2 linked regions of the Schizosaccharomyces pombe genome follow. The protein of the gene in region 2 interacts with the protein of the main gene of each other region in a pairwise test. Each region holds a gene or a part of one and is shown on either strand. Other genes may lie near its edges.

Region 1 (10,755 bases), on a different chromosome or scaffold from region 2:
TATAACCGCAAAGAGGCCAAGTCCCATGGTGAAGGAGGTAACCTTGTAGGCGCCGAAATGGAAGGTAAAAAGGTTTTACTTTTGGATGATGTTATTACCGCTGGAACTGCCATTCGTGAAGCAATTTCCTTCTTAGAACCTAAGCACGTAAAATTGGCTGGTATCGTCCTTTTGCTTGACCGCCAAGAGCGACTGGACCCCGAAGTAAACGAAAGTACCATTGGTAGATTGAAGAAGGAGCTTAACTTACCCGTTTCCTCCATCCTTACTTTGGACGACATTGTTGACTTTACCAAATCAGACTTAACTGCAGCTGAATCAAAGGCAATGGATGCTTACAGACAGCAGTACCAAGCCAAATGAGCTTATGGTAATGTTTCTTTTAAAAATTTGGAAGGAGGAAAGAGAATAATTGGATAAGTATCTTTTTTGGTTTTTAGCTTTGCTTTTTTAAAGAGAGTGAAGTTAGTTGGTATTTACATATGTTATAGAATTTTTTTATCTGTATATTTGTGGTGATAGATACAACTCATATTAGAAGGAATTTTCTATAAAGCGATTGCATTTAGCGGTATTCAAAAATTTCTCTATAATAGACGAAGGAAATTGGTTTACTTGTTAAGCTTTTGTTTTGCACATATCCATCTATCTTTTGATTAGTTCCGTGAATCTGTTTTTTTTGTGTTTGTTTCTTCTTTTGTGTTATTCGAATCTTTCCAAGATGACAGTTAGGAATGAAGCTACCAAAATATTGAGTTGAGGGATAATTAATGTTTCACAAAATGGTATTTGTGTATTATTTTTGTAAAAATTTGTAGGATTTGGTTTTTAGTGATGATTATTTACGTTCGAAAGACGCATATAATGGGCAATTATAAAAAATTTAGGATTTTATTTTTCAATTCTGCGACGGGTATTTATGCTCTGTGTTTGAAATACCAAATATTAAATAATGGTAAAACCTTTAAACAGAAGCCTGGTGATTAACTTTTTATTATGACAAGAAAATGTTAAGAAATTTTGGAATGTTTTTATTCTCATATTCAATGTGAATTTGAATAAGTAGTCACTGCAGTCTATAAATAAAAATGGTTTATTAGAAAAACTCGAGTTGAACAATGAAATTCTTTATCATTTATGTAATACAATTGGTTTAACATAGTGGAATCGAATGGTACAATAATTGAGTTACTAATATGTAACCTTCAAGTATTTATCGTTTACCACTAACTCACCATAAGAGAGGGTGAAAGATTTAGTTCTGTTTGTGTGAGATCTTAAAAAAGCAAGCAAATTTCCTTTTTATCAAAAAAAGGATCCGCATTTCCTGAAGCACTTTACTGTGATTTTAGGGATTTTTTTGGTGAGTAAGAAGCAGTGTTTTTCGATTTTTCTGAGATCTCGCTGTTGAAAAAATCCGGACTAAATCGGCTCCGTAGTCGATAAACCCAAATCTACAGCTTTTTGATTTAAATTATACAAATCGTGATCTGGAAAGTTTCGAAAGGTTTCTGTCCTTACATATTAAAGTTCTTGGTAGTTGAGTATCTTACATCAGCTGGTAAGATACGTGGATTTTTAGGGATAGCAGAGGTCTTTAAAAACATCTGTTTTTAACTCAAAACATAGAGTTAAATACTTTTTAATTGAAAAAATCTTTGAGGCAAACGCCGCTGAGAGAATATATCCTTTCTTTAGTGCATGCAGTTAGTATCATATGTATTTCCGACTTTATCTGCTATAAATACTCGGTTTTCAAAAACTATCGATATTTTGTAGAGGAAATTTCAATTTGCTTCTTCTTTCTCATTTGCTTCGTTTTTTTTTTTATATGATATTAATAGCTGGCGCTGTGGAGTTGAGACATTAAATTATTACAAACATTTAGAGAGACGAAACGTTGTTATTGCATCAAGTTTTGAAGCTCTTCCTTCCTTCCTTTTTTTTAAATTGCTTGCCAATAGTGCCGTTATGTATAACGACCAAATACATAAAATCACCTATTCAGGAGTGGAAGTATTTGAGTATACGATCAATGGCTTTCCTTTAATGAAACGTTGTCATGATAACTGGCTTAATGCCACGCAAATCCTTAAAATTGCAGAGCTCGATAAACCCAGGAGGACAAGGATTCTGGAGAAATTCGCTCAAAAGGGACTTCATGAAAAAATTCAAGGTGGTTGTGGAAAATATCAAGGTTTGTGTTAACTTCTTACTATATCAATAGGTTTAAAACTACTTAAATAACATAAAATTTTTGTCTCTGTTGTTTTTATTTATCAATTTATACTTTTTTGGATGCCTGTTACTAACTATTCATTCAGGAACTTGGGTACCCTCTGAAAGAGCTGTTGAACTTGCTCATGAATATAATGTTTTTGATTTAATACAACCTCTGATTGAATACTCTGGCTCTGCGTTCATGCCAATGTCTACGTTCACTCCTCAGAGCAATCGTAAGCCTACAGAAGCATATCGACGAAACAGTCCAGTAAAAAAGTCATTTTCCCGGCCTTCGCATTCTTTACTCTACCCTTACACATCTTCCAATAATATGACATCTACTTCTAGAATGTCAGGAATCCATGATGCTTTGTCTCTTCAATCTGATTTCACGCGCTCTCCCGATATGCCTTCTGATTCCTTTACGGGATCTTTGCACGATATCAAAGCTTCTCCGTTTTCTTCAAACAATTATGCGCAGTCTCTCTTGGATTACTTTTTATTACCAAATACTACACAACCTCCTGATTTCGTATATGATCGGCCATCAGATTGGGATGTTAATGCTGGCATTGATGAGGATGGTCATACAGCACTTCATTGGGCTGCTGCAATGGGAAATTTGGAAATGATGCATGCACTATTGCAAGCAGGCGCCAACGTAGTTGCTGTCAATTACCTTCAACAAACATCTTTGATGCGCTGTGTAATGTTTACCATGAACTATGATTTACAGACTTTTGAGGTAGTTTCGGAGTTGCTTCAATCTGCTATCTGCATGAACGACTCTTTTGGCCAAACCGTCTTTCACCACATCGCATTATTAGCTTCTTCTAAATCAAAGATGGAAGCCGCTCGTTATTATATGGATATCTTATTGCAAAATTTAACTGCAACACAATCCGTTGATGTCGCTGCCCAAATTATAAACCTTCAGGATGATCATGGGGATACCGCTCTTTTGATCTGCGCTAGAAATGGTGCAAAGAAATGCGCGAGATTATTATTATCCTTTTATGCATCATCCTCCATACCAAATAATCAGGGCCAATACCCAACAGATTTTTTGTCTTCGAAAGACATGTCTTTTCCCGAAAATGATGATTCCCCCTTAAATTCCAAAATCGAGGATAATTTGATAGATAACTTAAAATATCCGCAATCACTTGATGACCACTTATCGTCCAAAAAACCTATTTCTTACTTTTCTAATAAACTTACTCACCAAACCCTTCCCAATGTCTTCACTCAGCTGAGCGAACTTTCAAAATGCCATGAAGCATCTCTTGCTGAAAAACAACTAACCTATAATTTGGCAATGGAGGCGTTGGAGCAAACAGTTCGGGAAACTGAAACTTGCCAAAGATTATGGAATGAACGTACCAATAATGACGAGAACTACTTGGTAAATCAGCGGGAGGATTTGATTCACCAGTGTAAAAAATTTCTGCATACATTGAAAACTGCTAGATATTACCTTGAAACAGTTCAGCTTCATCAATTAAAAAAATACGTAACTTACTTTTCTCAAATATGGAGTACTGATGAGTTAGCTGATATCTCGGAGACCAAAAACCTTGTTGGTCATGATACTAAAACGAACCGTTCGTCTTTAAGCTCAAAACACGAAGTTGATCTTTTTACAGCTGAAAACGAAGCTGCTCGTGAAAAGCTCGTTGAGCAATTATGCTCATTGCAAGCGCAACGGAAACAGAAAATTAACGAAATTTTGAACTTGCTTTCTATGGGAATGTATAATACGATTAATACAGATCAAAGTGGATCTTAATTTTTTTGGTTTTAAATTATTATTCAAAATAATTTTTTCTTTCGTTATCTTATTTTTTGCATTCTTTATGTTTTTTATATAAATACCAACTTGAACTTATAGATATTTAACAATCTTTTTATACAGTCGTTGGCTATCTAATGATTAGTTTTAAATTTAAATTTAAATGTATCTTCCCATCTTATTATTTGCTAATATACATAATTTTTCTGATGGTCAATCTAAAATATTAAATATACTAATGTGCTTTTTGAAATGCCATGGGAATGTTAAATCTACAATTCGACGTCAATTCCTGCGTTTGAAAAGTTGTATTTCGCCTTTTCAATCCATTTAGTTCGCTCAGATTCTGAAGCTTCCTCCTTGGCAAGTTCAAAACACAACATTCCGGAATACTCATGCAATGCAGGATTCTGATTGTAGGGTGGTAACAGCAAATACTCATCAAGCAACTTCATAGCTTTATTGTATTCTTGGCGCTGAATAAGTAGCATGATATATGCTGGAAAAAAATGTTCTGCCTGTAAATGTTAGTATAGAATTGCGACATATGATTGATTTCAAATAAGAAGGGACAAAAAATTCAATACACGAAAAGATGAAAGTATAGACGTTTTGTACCAGTATACACTTACATTACGATTCGGATAAGAGTTGTTAATGGATGGACGCGCAGGATATCGAGCTATTAGTCGCTCCATATACTCTGATGAAGCTTCTGGATTAACTTTGTTCAAAATTTCAAGTCCAATGTTCCATAATTTGGAAATGTCAACACTCTTAGATCTCAACAGTAATGAAAAAGCCCTAGATGCCCTTGGGTAATCTTTGCGCAATAAGCAAAGGTGCATCAACGAACAAAGTGCATCAATATGTCTTGTTTTATACCTTCTTGATGGTAAAGGAATTGGAGGTATAACAGAAGATTCCGGGTTGGGAGCGACACTTCGCAAAGTTGAACGTTTTTCTTTAACGGTACAAGGAGAGAACATGATTATAACAGAATCAAGCTATAAGTATTACTTATTTAAACAAAGCATAGTTGATCTAACTATAACCTTTTAATCTAGCATTATTTTGCTAATTGCAAGGGTATGGTTTTTGGCATCTTAAAGCAGTTAGCACTTGAGCACGACAGTTGCCTCTCTGTTCAACAACGATCAACCTTAGCTATTGATTAACTTTAGATTTTAATTACTCATTCTTTTTACTTTCATCTATTTACTCAGCATAAAATTTACAGCCAAAAACTACAGGTGTTGTTATGCACGGCTACATAATTAACTGCTTCAATTGTCAACTGAAAGTACATTAAGCAAAAGCTTTGAAATATATTAAATTTCTTTCCTAATGGACAACATCCTCCAACAAAAGTAATTTATGTGAAGAAACAAAAAGGGATGTAGGTAGAAAGTCTTGCAAGTCCACCCATATTATCCAAACCCAAATAACCAACCAAATATTAAAGTTTTATATAAAAAAAGAACCCCAAGTCCAAAACCATTATTCTACCTTCTTTGAGTTTTACCGTTACCACGTTTACCGCTAAGCAAATGTTTAGGCTTGGCAGCAATAACATGTCGATCACTTTCAGAAGCCCTGGCCATGCGGTTACGGTGTATCTGTTTGACACGAGCCAGGCGATCAGCGTAAGATCTGGCACCTTCTGCGTGAACACCAGATTCGCGACGGTTGCTTTGTGAACGTGGGGCAATAGATTTAGAGCGAATTTCTTCACCTTCATTCATTAACAAGTCAACACCTGAACCATCAGCCATTTCGTTTGCTGCTGCAGTACGTGCACGGGAGCGTGCCCGCTCTTCAATAGAATCTGAGGGAAGCCCAGCAGATTGTAAGGAAGATTGTAGTTCGTCTAAAGTACGAATGCCAGCGGTACGGGGAAGTACAGGACGATTTTTAATTTTCTTCTGGCGAGCAGCCAACATAGTCAGCTTGTTTTTCTCACGAATTCTACTTGCTTTTTCAAGAACCTCTTCCTCATCGGCATCCTCAATTTCTTGGTCAGAATCATAATATCCTTCACGCTCAAGACGTTCTTCTTCTTCGTCCAAGGCTAATAACTTCGCTTCAATTTCAGGATCAACGAAATCAGCCACATTCTTACCGTCCAATAATTCAGGCATACGGTCATATTTCCAGCTAGGGTCTTGAAGAATATACTTGTCACGCAATTCAACATTATAGACACCAGCACCTCCGTTTGCAGCTTCAATATCACGAGCAAGTATACGGCGATTTGGATCATTTGCATCATATGCACGGCGAGTTTTAACAGAATCAGGAATGCAAGCTGGTCGTGCAACCTCATCACGAGCAGCAGGCTCAGCAAGATGAATGCGATTAAGAACATTGTTAACCCTTGAGCCCTTAAGTTTTTGTTCGACACGAGCAGCCAAAAGGGCTTCACAAGCGGTAGTACGTACATCCATAACACCGATATCTTGAACACAGCTAGTTTGAACCACCTTAACATTACCGTCGTCAATGATGGTTTGAAGAAGCTCTTGATTTTTTTGATCCAAATCCTCAGGCCTCATGGCGTCAATCTTGTTGAGAACCAAAATAGTAACCTTGTTGGCAAAAAGGGGTTTAATGCTATGATATAATTTAACCTGTGCAGCAACACTGTAACCGCACATTTCCGAGAGATCCATGAAATATAAAACCGCAGATCGAAGATGAGCCATTGCAGTAATAGATTGCATTTCAATGGTGTTCATTTGCTCTAAAGGGTGGTCCAGAATACCAGGAGTATCAATCACTTGCCATCTCAAATATTTATAATCAAAATGACCGACAAATAGAGATTTAGTGGTAAAAGCATAAGGCTGAACATCAACTTGAGCACGAGTAACCTTGTTCATGAATGAGGATTTACCAACGTTGGGATAGCCGCAAACCAATAAGGTTCGTGTATTTGGATCAATTGCTGGCAAACGAGACAAGTGCTGTCTGACTTGCTCAAGAAATTCGAGGGATGACTTTTGCCTTTTAATGATCGTTGCCATGCGTCCCAAAGCGGCACGCTTGAGCTGTTTGCAGCGGTATAAGCTATCACCATACTTGAGCAAACGGATATAATCACGAGCGACATTTTCTACTAAATGTTTGGCTGTCGAGAGCTGTGAAAGAGCGATTTTAAGGTGATCGCGATCGTAAAGAATGTTCAAAAGGTCAGCATGAAAAGGATGAATATCGTTAAGTCTAAGAAATTGTTAGTGAACCATAGATAGTGATATGGAAATAAGGAAAGATTCACGATGCTGCTGAGAATTCCAACACAATTAAACACTTAAAAAATCAATAGGAGTAACACAGTGTTAAGAATACTGTGCACATAAGAATTCACACCAAACACGTTAAAGCATCATTTCTCATTCTTTAACAGTGACTGCAGGCATCCATTTCTTTGGCAAATACTTACTTAGGGAATTCCTGTAAAATCGAATCCAGCTTTTCAGTAATTGTATCTTGAGTAAATTTTACTTTTCGTCCATAAAAACCTCTAATACGAGAGATCTAATATTTTCGTTAGTAGATGATTCGCAAATCTAGAATTCCAATGCAACCACTCTAATACGATAATTGAACTGAAAATGTTTACATACCTTAAACCCTGATCGAATAACGGTAGGTGTTTTTCTTTGAGTCCGAGAAAGGACCACGTCCAAGAACGTGTTCACATCCGGAATTGGAGTAATATTCTGCATCAATGTTAATAAGAATGATACAAACTTTCAATTTTAGAAATTAAAATACCTTGAACACTGCCGTTGCCATGGAGTAGAAAAGTTTGGTAGATGGCAAATGTCAAAGACAATTTTTCACCGTTCACGCAGTAGTTATCCAGCTAGCATTGATAATGGACGAAGGTTCGAATCGTATAGGTAGAACAGTCACCTTCTGTTAACGAATTTTTGTTTGACATTGATAAATCGTATAACGCAAAGAAACGCAATAGAAGGTAAACAAAGCAAGTTTATAGGCAGGCATTATGAATCGAATATCTACGGTTTGTGACAAATTTTATTCAATGTTTTAATCTACATTTCATACTTCAAAAATCCCGTTATTATAATCTTAATTTTCTTTTCAAGAATATTGGGTAGTTTGATCTGGTGTCCGAATGGATGAAAAGTGATAGCAAAATTTCATAAAACAAAATCCAAGAAATCAGTATTTATTAGAATGCTACTTAAACTTTTTTCACTTTCTTAAAATCATGTTGTGAACAAAACGATTTACATTCCTACACTGCAAATACGAAGAATAAAATGCATAGATTGATTTGAACAACAGAATGTTGACTGAAGTAGATGTATGTAGATTAGCAGAACTTATGTTATAGCACTTTCATTTTCTTGATTCTATTAGCTTTAAAGGAAATTTCGAAGATACCCTACTTGTTGATAGGCTCCATGTATTTAATAATTTTGTTCGCATTTTATTTGAAAAAGTTAGCATCTATTTTCTTTGGTTCTAGTATTTAGTTAATGACTTAAAGAATCTTTCTTAGGAGAGCGAAATAGTTCAATTGAACATACTGTATGCCCATCCTTCATATTGATGCCTAAATCAACATATCGTATAGTTACATAAAGCATAATTTATCATTTTTTTAAATTTCCTTTAGACATTACTTTTCACAAATTTGCGACTTTCGCTCTATTTAACAAAAATCCTATCATTTTGACAGTATAATACATCTTGTATTGCAATGCCAGCTTTACTCAACGACAAACTAAACCTTGTAAACGCAGGGTCCCATTCATCCATTTTTGTACCATCATGACATTGGCAGCAGTAGCTCAGCTTAACTCAAGTGGTTCTATTCTAAAAAACTTAGCCATATGTAAAGAATTGATAAGTCAAGCAGCCGCCAAAGGTGCGAAATGCATATTCTTCCCTGAGGCTTCTGACTTTATAGCTCATAATGTACGACACTTTTGCATACTTTACCAACTTTACTAATATCTCTGACATACAGAGTGATGAGGCTATTGAACTTACAAATCATCCTGACTGTAGCAAGTTTATTCGGGACGTTCGAGAGTCAGCTACCAAACATTCAATCTTCGTAAACGTACGTACTAATGTTTAACTACTTTGATAGTAACAAACTTGTCTTTATAGATATGCGTGCACGAACCATCTAAGGTTAAAAACAAGCTACTAAACAGTAGCCTGTTTATCGAGCCTCTTCATGGTGAAATCATTAGCCGTTACAGCAAAGCTCATCTTTTTGATGTTGAAATTAAAAATGGACCAACTTTAAAAGAGTCGAATACTACACTTCGTGGTGAAGCTATTCTCCCACCTTGTAAAACCCCTCTAGGCAAAGTTGGTTCTGCAATTTGTTTTGACATCCGCTTCCCAGAACAAGCTATAAAGCTTAGAAACATGGGTGCTCACATTATCACATACCCTAGTGCTTTTACTGAAAAGACCGGAGCTGCTCATTGGGAAGTGCTGTTGAGAGCTCGCGCTTTGGACTCTCAGTGTTATGTTATAGCTCCTGCGCAAGGTGGAAAGCATAACGAGAAGCGTGCTAGTTATGGTCATTCCATGGTATGTCGTCTTCAAGTTTCACCTGTCTGTTTAAGAATTCTTGCTAATTAAAATTTTTAGATTGTTGACCCTTGGGGTATGTCATTTTGACAATTTTATTAGGTAAAATAACTTGAAATTCTAATGCATCTAGGTACTGTTATTGCTCAATACAGTGATATCTCTTCTCCGAATGGCCTCATTTTTGCTGACCTTGATTTGAATCTTGTTGACCATGTACGAACTTATATTCCACTATTACGTAGAAACGATTTATACCCGACCATTTAGCACTGTTATACAAACTGAGGTGATTTCAATTTAAATTAAAGAGAAAATTTTTTTTCGGCTTGTTTACGAAGTATTCATTATTACTTACGGATTTGCAAGATTAAAGCCTGAATACTATGAAAATAAATTTGCGACAATTAAATAATTCCATAAAACCGTAAATTACTGAGCGCTCGATATAGTAAACATAATAGAATCGAAGTGGAATGCAAAAAGTAAGTACTTATTTTATTAATTAATGCATAATTTATATATGTATAACGATTAGGCATCATATAGGAAAAGTGCAATACACAGACAAAAAGAAGAAAAATTAAAAAAAATAAAAAGAAATAGACTTCTTACAATAAAGCATGAAAAATCATTAATGACTGCACCTTCAGAATCACTTTGATTCAAAAGTGTTGTTTTGTGATTAGAAAAAAAGTTAAAATAAAAAACAAAATATAGTCCCTGCGGAAACCCCCCGAACATTCTTTCCCATGCGTGGAAAGAATAACCGTATTATAGTAGTATTTGGAATATAAATTAAAGGACCCTATTCAATTTAGGATCTTGCATGAATTAGTAATATTAAACGATTAAAATACTAAGAATTGGATGTGGACTTTGGAATAAGTTGAGATGCGACAATACCGATGCCTATTACAGTAATGGCCGCAAGCATGTTGCAACCATTGAATATGTTTTCTTGAAGAAAAACAGCAGGAACCTTGGTGCCAGGCTTGTGTTTTTCTTCCTGCAATTCAGCGAGTTGAAGTCGAAATAAAAGCAATCCATTGGATCGAGACATATATTCCCAAGGATCGCCAGTATTACGAAGACAACTGTACGGAGAAATTTGGTATCGGTCCAAGGGTAGAGAAGAAAAGGGTACTGCTGAT
Region 2 (10,878 bases):
CTGAATTTAACTCTGCATTCTTTTCAGAAATCTCACACTGTAAACTATTGTTAGTTTGACTTAAAGTCTCCAAACTGTCATGGAGCTTCTCAATAGTTAGCTCTTGATCCCTGATTTGGCTTTTTAAAAATGCAGAGCGCCCGATTTCATCGTCAAGATTTCCCTTAGTGTTTTTTAAATCCTTCTGTAATCCATCCCGTTCATCAGTCAAACTAAAGACCGTGTCAAATTGAGAGAGTTGCTCATCCTTTAGGCATTTCATTTCTTCATCAAGTCTCAAAACCTTACTTGATTCCACTTCAAGATTGTTCTTTAATTCATTAAGTTCTTCCATAAGATATTCATTTTTTCGAAATACATTCTCCATATCCTTTATTGACGACTGTATTTGTTCTTGATAAAGTAGATCCCTTTGTTCACTAACAGAAGACTGAAACTCCAATAAGCCTGCTTTTTCTCTAAGACTTTCGGAAAGTCTTGAAATTTTTAATTCTTTTGCTCGAAAATCATCATCATAATGACTAATTAATGCCTCCTTGTTGTTTAACTTTTGACGCGCTTCTTTCATCTCGGTTTCATAATTGGCGTTCATTTCTCTCAGATTTTTTTCATCATTTTTAACAGTTTCTAGAGCTTCTTGCAATGACTGATTTCTTTCTAGCAACGCTTTGATTTGATCCTGTAACTTCTCGGTTTCAAGTTTTAAATCCCTGTTTTGGGTTTGAATTTCATTAATAGAATTTTGAGCTATAGAAAGCTTTTCTTCATAACTGATAGTTTTATTTTCGGCTTGTTTCAAATTTGACGCTACTATACTTAGAGATTTCTGCAACAACTGACGCGCGGCTTCACTGTTAAACTTGTCTTCCAATGCGTTGTTATGCTTGGACACAAGGCACACATACTTGTCGTTCATAATAGAAGAATGAAGTTTGAGCTCCTCAACAAGAGAACATAAATAGGCAATTCGTTTCAGAGATGTGTCACTCCAATCACTATTCGATGACTCCATATCTTTTAGAACATCAGGTAATTCATAATCGCCAAATAAGAATTTCCATGTTTTTTCTAACGAATGGCATCGTCGTAGTTGAATTTCTGTGTTTAGTTGCCTTGCTTGAAAGGAAAAGTTTACTTGAAGCATAACATTGTGCACTTGAAGTAGTTCAGTCAAAGTAGCAAAAGATTTAAATCGAGAAAGTAATTGAGAAAATGTTTGGTTATCTAAAGAAAATTTATAAAGCGTCAAAGTGAAATTATGGCCATCAGCCAGTGAACTGAAATATTTTTTTGCATTAGTAGTAACATTTGGTAGATTTTGGCACAATAGAAGTATAAGTTTAAGCTGAACTGATTCAATCCCAACGTGTTCTTCGTTGCATATGCATTTGATAATTTTTCTACTGCAATAAAAGCAAGTATCCCGCCGAGAAACTTGTAAATCTTTCTCTTCTCTAGCGCTGGAAGCATGATAAGCATTTGGTGATTTTGTTAAAGTTACATCTGCAGTGGTTGATTGATTATTCCCTTCCGATTTAACTAAGAGTTTAAAACTGTTTAAAAGATAATAGGAAGGACTCTTTAGCTTGAAATTCAAAAGTTGACGCGCTTGAGTTGAGAGCAAAGAAACAGGAAATATCCCGTTATGCGTACGCAAATGATTTTCGTGAGTTTCTTTAGTCATTAAGTATTTAATCAAATAAGTTAGGCTTTTCTAAAATATAATTTTGAGCAAGCAATCTACCAATTGTAAGATTTATCAACGATGCTTCTAATTCGAAGATGTAAATCCTGCACTTATAGAAAAGAAATAACGGAAAAAAGAAATACTTTTAACATCAATTAGGAAAAGCATTAAACCTTCAGGTTGTAAATGCACTCAACAATCGTGTTTGTGACAGTGGGAAATGGAGGTAAATAAACACTACAATAACTTCTTATATGGGTGTTTAATGTTCTAAGGTATTCAAAGCAAGGGCGTTAGCATAGCTTTAAAAGATAATAGTAAGTTTATTCAATTATTGAAACACTTTTCAGTCTATTTATTTATAATAAAAATAATGTATAGTTGAAGCTGTAAAGTGATGAACTTTGTCGGTCCAAAGTAAACAAATATTATAGAATACAGCGCTAATACTACTAGCAAAATAAAGTCACCTTCTGAAAAAAAATGTAGTTGCAAAGAAAGAGAGACAAACCTCAAAAATTTAATGAAGAAATATGAGGTCCTTTAATCCCAAGAAGCATTCATGCAAGTCTAAAGACATAAAGTAATTACAAAGCCGAAACAGGTTTATCATTCATCTTCAAATCTTAGGCATAATCTCTGTACTACTTTGATAATTCACCTAAGTATACAGAAACGCTTTGGGGTCAATATACCATCACAAAAGAGAAAAAAATTGAAAAAGACTGATTGTGATCAGCGCAAAAGTTTTATAAAATTATTGAAAGAAACAAACAGCTTTAGAATTCAAAACAGTTTACAAGGGAAAATATTATAGTGCTGAGCTATAAAACGCGTTGATGAAAGCGCTGAAAAAAAAAAAAAAAAGAAAGTTGATCATCAGGACATAAGCATTGGCTTCATATAATTCAATAATGTCACCAATATTGCCAACTTGATTGGCTAACGTACAAAATACATGCAAAATTAATCGTAAAGAGATGTAGAATTATGAGGGAAAGATTAAATCAACCACGAAAGAAACTTTTTTGTTTGCGCAAGCTATAATTTACAAAAATTGCTCGAACACAACCCGTAACAGTTTCCAAACCAGATCAAATGCGTGTATTTAGTATTATCGAATTGCCCGGTTCGAACACTTTAAGCACATTATACCAAGAAATGACCACCCACCCACATTTCAAACGATCAATCATCTTTCCATGAACCGGCAAAGAAATGTTGAACATACGCCATCGGATCATTTGGAGACTTGCTACCCATGTGACCGACACCAGGACTAAATGCAGTTATGGGTAGGATTAAAACATCTCCAACAAGATAAGGTTCTTCTAAATTGGTGATATTCTCAACCGAGAAAGGGCCATACTGCCAATTTAAATAATCCATAATGGCATCGGTCCAAATACCTGGACCAGTCCACTCCATTACTGACTCGCCATTTTTCGAAAGCTTCTTTGAATCATGCAGCTTCCAAGTTTCATCGGTAATTCTACGAACAAGTTCCCAAAGAATTGGATGGCCTGGTGCAGCAGCTATGGTCCACTGACAGAATTGTACACGCCTGGCATAGTAGTCGTTCCAATCAGGGCGGTCGGGATCTGCTTCAATGCCAACGATCAGTCGAATATTACGCTTACGATATTCACGAGGGATCCAATTGTTTATATGCTTCAATGGTGCCGTATCAATGTCGCTATAAATACCACCTTTTGCCAATAACACTAGATACCGAAAGAAATCGGCCTTCAGAACAGGCAGAGGCATCATTGCATACGCTTGTGAAATCTTGGAAACTGATGAATCGCCAAAGCTACTGATGACCAATGCTTTAGACTGCTCATCGTCTAAAACAGCATGAGAATAACTGGGATGGTTGATTCTCCAAAACCGAGTGTACTTCATAACCTCTCTATCAAAAGGGTCCTTGGAAGTTTGCCATATTAACTTGGGAATGTCAGCGTGATAAGGCACCTCAAATTCATAAGTATCTTTAGGAACGATCATGTGTACAGCTTCATTTTCTTCGTCAAAATCTTGAAGCTGTGAAAAGGAGTACCGTAGATGAAGTTTATAATTATTTTCTTCATCAAGTTCTTCCAAGCTGTGTTCCAGCTCTTCCCTCTCCAAATCGCTCAAGTAAGCTTCCAAATCTGGATCTTCTTCTTCTTCAATGTAAGACGGTTGATCATACAAAAGTTCCTCCTCCTCCTGTTGACCAACATAATCTTTATTAGCGGCTTCCGGAGTGTAATCCTCCAACATCGAAATCTCTGTCAAATCTTCCATTCCTTCTATGCTACCATGATTGAATAACAACAGTATGGATCCCGCTATCGCAGCTCCTATTACAATACTTCTCAATCGGAGTCTCAACATGCTGAACTCGTTATATGCTAATGCTCAATGTATCAATTAATTACTTAGTTCGTTAACAAAGACTCATTAATGTGTACTTAATGCAGCTAGGATACAGATTTTGCGGTTTTTCATAGAATCGCAGCAAAACACAGGTGGGCGCTCTGGCTGAGTTTGCGCAGATGCTCTTACTTTAACTTCGCACAAGCGACCCGAAAATCGAAGGGCTTTAATGTGATATTACTCTATAATAGCAACAGCCACACTTGATTGCGGTACCGTGCGTAATATCAGTCCAAGTATTGTCGGCTGTAGTTAACGGTGTGTGTTAGGTGTATGTACACAATAACAGAAAAAGGTTACCCAAAGCACCACCCATAATATAGAAGTGTAAGCAGCGATCCACTTCAAATCCGTTCTTTTGAGTATCCAAGCTGTTTGAATAATTGGAAAGCCGGAGAATTGGCATTAATATACGTACTCCGGCTTCTCGTGTATAATAAGAGGAATTTGGTGAAGTTTCCATGTTCAAATAAGACGACTTGTCTTGTAGAACCTTTTATTGTTGAAAGTAATTGGAGCGTTAAAAAAAAAGGTACTACTTGAATTTGAAAAATATCTTTCTTCTCTTTCTGTTGTTGTGTCGGTACGGACGATTGGTATCAGAAAAGCCCCTTTGCATAGCGCCGTTTTTCTAAAACTTGCGATACCTCGAGAGGGTAGTAAAATTAGAATCAACAAACAAGAAAATGCTTCGCAATGGAGCTCAGAATGGAAATATAAACTCTGAGTCTCATGAATCGTTTGGTAAAGCAGCTAAAGGATTTCGTATTTTTTCATCATTTAGCAGTAGCCAAAAACTGTTCCAAAGAAGGAGTTCTGGCTCTATCACACATTCTCCTACCGCTTTATCATCTACCACATCCCTTAATGAAAATGATGGCAATCATTTTCGTCCTGCATCGAGCCTTAGCTTTTCTCCCTCTTCGCTATCCAGAAAAGATTCGGGTCCTGGAGATGGCTTAGAAGTTAATAAAAAAAATAATTTTTATCGCCGTTCTTCCTCCACAGATGATTTTGGCATTTCTCATGCACGTAGTAGGAAAGAAATACAATCGCTCGGTAGACCCCATACTCGCCAGTCGTTTTCCGTCTCTGATGTATCTAATGGCAGTTCTTATCCTAACATTCGAAAAAATAGCGTCCATGTTAATGCACCCATGCCATCTTTTCCTGAAGGATCAACTGCCGTCTTACTTAAGCATCACTCAGGCTCCAAGTCTGCATCTGCGATTTCGAACATCGCCCCTTCGCATTCCAATTCTACCTCATCTCGTCGCCCTTATATACATCCGGCTTTTCTTTCTCAAGTCGCCGTTGAGTTCCGAAAGCGTCTTAACATCGGTGACCGTGTGAAGGATGGTCTTCTTTATAAAGATGCCTTTCTTGGATCGGAAGCTGTCGATGTATTGATGCATATAGTTCGGACGACTGACAGGAATTTGGCGTTACTTTTAGGAAGAGCCCTGGATTCGCAAAAGATGTTTCATGACGTTACTTACTCTCATAGACTTCGCGACTCGCTCAAGGAAGTTTACCAGTACCGACGTATCATTTCTCCTCCTCCTGGTCTCTCCTCGATGGATTCCAATGGATCGTCGATCGAAAATAACTTTCTCTACACAAAAAGAAGAGCGAACACGTCTGATTCATTTGACTCTGTTTTATCTGATTCTTCTACGACACCTACCATCTCCTCGTCTGTACAGGTAAATTCTTTAGCTTTCATCACCTCATCCCTAAGCGCAATTACTAAGGAGCCTGAAGCTCCTGAAACCGAATACAATCCTCATGGAGTGTTTACTCTTTTAACGGAATGCTACTCCTCTACATGTTCTCGTAATCGCCTTTGCTATTCTATATCTTGCCCACGTCGACTAGAGCAGCAGGCCCGTCTCCATTTGAAGGTCCAACCTGTATTAAGTGGGGGATCAACTTCGATTACAGATAAACAAGAGGAAGATCATCGTTTATGGTCGGAAAATGTTCCTAAGCAAGTTGTAGACCAGATCGATGTCCGTGAATGGAAAAGACAGGAAATCATTTTTGAGGTTATTTACACAGAACGGGACTTCGTCAGAGACCTAGAGTATATACGTGACTTTTGGATTAAGCCTCTTTCAACCTCAAATGTAATACCAGAAAACAACCGACAACAATTTATACGTTGCGTTTTTCATAATATCATGCAAATCCATGCTGTCAATTCTCGTTTGTCAAATGCTCTAAACCGTACTCAAACTCTGCAACCTGTAGTTAACACAATTGGTGATCTTTTCTTAGATTATGTTCCTAAATTTGAGCCTTTTATAAAATATGGTGCCAATCAGGCTATTGCCAAGTTTGAATTTGAGCGTGAAAAAAGTACGAATAGGAATTTTGCGAATTATGTTCATGAAGTGGAAAGATTACGAGAGTCTAGAAAACTAGAACTTAATGGTTATTTGACCAAGCCTACGACTCGCCTTGCGAGGTATCCGCTACTATTAAGTGGAGTTCTTAAGTACACTGATAAAGATAATCCTGATACGGAAAACATTCCTCGTGTAATCGAAATGATTCGTGAATTTCTTACTAAGCTTAACTATGAAACAGGGAAGACTGAAAATAGACTCTCGTTGTTACAGTTAAACGAACAGCTTTCCTGCAGCCCTGCGGATCGAGCAAAATTAACATTGTTTGATCCATCTCGCTTATTGATTTTCAAAGGCGTCGTCAAGCTAAAAGCCAGTAGTTATTCGAATGGGGACACTGAAAACGACATTCACATGTTTTTACTGGACAATTTTCTCTTGTTGTGTAAGATAAAGATTCAAATGAAAAGAAGAGTTCATAAACTGCATCTCAGGCCATTACCTTTAGAATTGTTGTCGATTTCTTACATCGAAGACTCGCCATCGAGAGGTAGCCTTCCGCGTCGACCATCTTCTGCTTTGTTAACTAATCCAATTTCAATTACAAAAAGTAATCCACCTCCTGTTAAAGCATACGGTTTGCAGTTAGTATTTATTGGAGCCCGTGGTTTTTCTATAAGTCTTTATCTCAATACACTGATTGCTAGAGACCAATGGAAACAACACATTGAGAAACAGCAAGATATCATTCGAAAGCGTCATTTGGTATTTGAAAGTCGAGGCATATGTTGTCAGTCCTGGTTTACCGGCAACAAGTTATTATGTGCCGTTGCCTATGGTAAGTATAATAAACAATATGTTAAAGAAGTAAATGTTTGTTAACAGCTCTTTAGATGCGGGCCGTAAATTACTATTTGGAACTTACAAGGGACTATATATCTCTTCTCGAAAAAGTAATAATGGCAGTTGTCTTGAACCCATTTTCAAGCTGCAATTACCAAATATCTCTCAACTAGATGTAATTGAGGAACATAACGTTCTATTGCTTTTAGCCGAGAAGATTTTGTACGAGTTACCTCTGGACGCTCTTGATTCAGTAGAACAAATTAATTCAAAGTCTTTGCGACGTGTAACAGGTCATGTTAGTTTCGTCAAAACAGGTTTTTGTATGCAAAGAATTTTAGTCTGTGCGGTAAAGTCCACCGTTTTAAATACTACATTGAGGATTTATGAGGCTGATCGTGCCTTGAAGAACAAAAAGACCCAGTCTCTAAAAAAGCCTTTTGGCAATCAAGCAACTTTGAAAATATTTACTGTGAGTTACCTCGTCGTTCTTTCTCTATACTAACATTTTTTTAGGAGGTACAAATGCCGATGGAAGCTTTGTCCGTTCACTTTCTCAAGACAAAGCTTTGTGTGGGAAGTTTTAAGGGATTCGATATTATAAGTTTGGAAAATGCCGTATTCCAATCTTTGTTAAATCCTGCTGATACTTCATTTAGATTTTTAGAAAAGAGGGAAGATATTCGACCGATTGCCATGTTTCGCTTAAGAGGAGAATTTCTCCTCTGTTATTCAGATTTTGCATTCTTTGTTAATACGAATGGCTGGAAATCTAGGCAATCCTGGATGATTAATTGGGAGGGCCAACCTCAAGGTTGCGCTTTGTGTTATCCATATATCCTGGCATTTGAGCCGGACTTCATTGAAATTAGGAATGCCGAAACAGCCGAACTCGTTCAAATCATAATGGGACAAAACATTAAACTTTTAACTGATGGCCGAGGGTTAATTAGTGAAGGAGGTGAAATACTTTACAGCACTGAGCCAATTCCATTTTCATCTGGAGAAAATCCTATAGTTCATTCTTTAATACTTCCTCCAGCAAATGCAGCAGGTCCTGCACTTTAGATCGTTTATGACAGTACTGTCAACATTTGTGCGAACTTCTCCTTGAGCATTTTGGAATACTATTTACTACTCCGGACATCTTTTGCATGCCACATCAATTGATTATAATATATGCTATTACAATCTAAGCTTCAAGAATCTATGACCCTGCTTCATCTCTTTAAGGAATAACTTTAAAAATTCCTACGTACATATATTTACTATGGTTGAGATAATGCTATTGACGATTGTGTGTTTTATTAAACGAATTGTGTCTTTTTCAATTTGCTCAACATTGCACGCTGTTTTTGTTACGAATCATTCTTTTTCCATAGATTTATTATGCATTTCTTTAGTCAACTAATAAACAACCTCTCTGCATTCAGCATATTCATTCATTATCTTTTATTGTGATTGTTTAAAATACTCATGTGTAATCGATAACTTTTCATACTATTGAAGATAACATGAACAGTGTTACAATAATAAAAAATGCTTTTATATGCATTCCAAACTCCTTAACATTTTTTATGTTTTAGCATTCACCAAATATTACCACGTAAAATACACTTTTTCGCAACGAGTTGCTTATCTGTATTAAACAGCATTAACGCAGGCTTCGATAGAGTGTGCAGGAGTTTATCGCCACGTTCAGTAGGGTTTTTCTTGCTACATCATTTTTTAGAAGACATCTAAAATCTTAAAAGTAAAGTGTGTACATAAATGTTTTTATAATTTTTTTAAATAGATTTTTCAGTAAAAGTCTGTGTATTTAAAGTACTAAAATAATCAGGAATTATTACAATTTTTCAGGTGTGTGACTGTGTGTTAGAGAAAATATTTATTACAACCCTTCAACTTTTTTTCCACAACCCACTCACCTAGCTAAGCAAGATTGCTAAAATGGTAGACCAACTGGAGGATTCGGTTATTGAAACCAACTACGATGAGGTTATTGACACCTTCGACGACATGAATTTGAAGCCTGAGCTTCTCCGTGGTATTTATGCCTACGGTTTTGAGCGTCCTTCTGCCATTCAGCAAAGAGCCATTATGCCCATTTTGGGAGAGCGTGATGTCCTTGCTCAAGCTCAATCTGGTACTGGTAAGACTGCTACCTTCTCAATTTCTGTTTTGCAGAAGATTGACACTAGCTTGAAGCAATGCCAAGCTCTTATCCTTGCTCCTACCCGTGAGCTTGCTCAACAAATCCAAAAGGTTGTTGTTGCTTTAGGCGATCTCATGAATGTTGAATGCCATGCTTGTATTGGTGGTACTCTTGTTCGTGATGATATGGCTGCCTTGCAAGCTGGTGTTCACGTTGTTGTTGGTACACCAGGTCGTGTTCACGACATGATTCAACGTCGTGCTCTTCCTACCGATGCCGTCCAAATGTTTGTTCTTGATGAGGCTGATGAAATGTTGTCCCGTGGTTTCAAGGACCAAATTTACGACATTTTCCAACTTTTGCCTCCTACTGCTCAAGTTGTTCTTCTTTCTGCCACCATGCCTCAAGATGTTTTGGAAGTCACCACCAAATTTATGCGTGATCCCATTCGTATCCTTGTTAAGAAAGATGAGCTTACCTTGGAAGGTATCAAGCAATTCTATGTTGCCGTTGAAAAGGAAGAGTGGAAGCTTGACACTCTTTGCGATCTTTATGAAACCGTCACTGTTACTCAAGCCGTTATTTTCTGTAATACCCGTAGAAAGGTCGATTGGCTTACCGAGCAGCTCACTGAGCGTGATTTTACCGTCTCCTCCATGCACGGTGATATGGACCAAGCTCAACGTGATACTTTGATGCATGAGTTCCGTACTGGTTCTTCTCGTATTCTTATCACCACCGATCTTCTTGCTCGTGGTATCGATGTCCAACAAGTCTCCTTGGTTATCAACTATGACTTACCTGCTAACAGAGAAAACTACATTCACCGTATTGGTCGTGGTGGTCGTTTCGGTCGTAAGGGTGTTTCCATTAACTTTGTTACCAACGACGATGTTCGCATGATGCGTGAGATTGAACAATTCTACAATACACACATTGAGGAAATGCCTATGAACATTGCTGACTTGATTTAAAAAATACAAAAGTCCTTTCTTCTCTTTGTTCTAGATATGGAACGCTCCGTGATTGCTCTTCTCGCAACCCGGCAAACCTCCCGCAACTTAATTTATCTGCTTTTCTTTGCCCATGTTTTTAATGCTTCTTTTATCTGTGCCGGTTGATAGCTGCTCACCATATGGTTTTTTGTGAGTCGTGTTAGTGTTTGCTGAGAAAGGATTTTTTTTTTCGGCTACGCTGTTTATTCATTAGGTCACAAAATAAAAGGCTGGATTTGGTTGATTTACATATATTTACTCTTCTTTTGAGCCTCGTGTAGCTGTTCTGTGATTACTTTTATAAATGTGTTGTAGTTTGGTTAGAAGGTTTGTCGTTTTTTTGTTTTTTGGTAAAACTAAATGAGTGAATAGAGGATGTCAATCTGTATTTTGGATTGAACTTTTATTTACTGCGTATACCTTTGT

The links.
Region 1: the proteins of och1 (region 2) and rrn11 interact in a two-hybrid assay, tested with the Schizosaccharomyces pombe proteins (one large-scale study listed by BioGRID).

What each region holds. Positions count from the first base shown.
Region 1 is NC_003423.3:1,231,364-1,242,118, forward strand, and holds rrn11 (RNA polymerase I transcription factor subunit Rrn11), read right to left. Parts: upstream 5,119-10,755; 5' UTR 5,005-5,118; coding exon 4,648-5,004; exon of another isoform or gene 4,534-4,647; coding exon 4,288-4,533; 3' UTR 4,142-4,287; downstream 1-4,141. Other genes in the region: orotate phosphoribosyltransferase Ura5, read left to right, coding at 1-363; MBF transcription factor complex subunit Res1, read left to right, coding at 1,972-2,197, 2,325-4,012; GTP-binding protein Nog1, read right to left, coding at 5,521-7,237, 7,458-7,552, 7,642-7,737, 7,793-7,813; nit1 (nitrilase superfamily protein), read left to right, coding at 8,822-8,968, 9,021-9,116, 9,167-9,601, 9,662-9,677, 9,735-9,871; GTPase-activating protein Gyp10, read right to left, coding at 10,461-10,755. UniProt on the Schizosaccharomyces pombe protein: Subunit of a multiprotein complex essential for the initiation of rDNA transcription by RNA polymerase I. Binding to the DNA template is dependent on the initial binding of other factors.
Region 2 is NC_003424.3:5,076,311-5,087,188, forward strand, and holds och1 (Golgi alpha-1,6-mannosyltransferase Och1), read right to left. Parts: upstream 4,212-10,878; 5' UTR 4,067-4,211; coding exon 2,876-4,066; 3' UTR 1,979-2,875; downstream 1-1,978. Other genes in the region: protein mcp3, read right to left, coding at 1-1,684; RhoGEF for Rho1 Rgf2, read left to right, coding at 4,795-7,297, 7,353-7,774, 7,819-8,370; translation initiation factor eIF4A Tif1, read left to right, coding at 9,253-10,431. UniProt on the Schizosaccharomyces pombe protein: Mannosyltransferase involved in outer chain elongation of asparagine-linked oligosaccharides of the type Man(9)GlcNAc(2). May otherwise add the first alpha-1,6-mannose to the Man(8)GlcNAc(2) core oligosaccharide from the ER.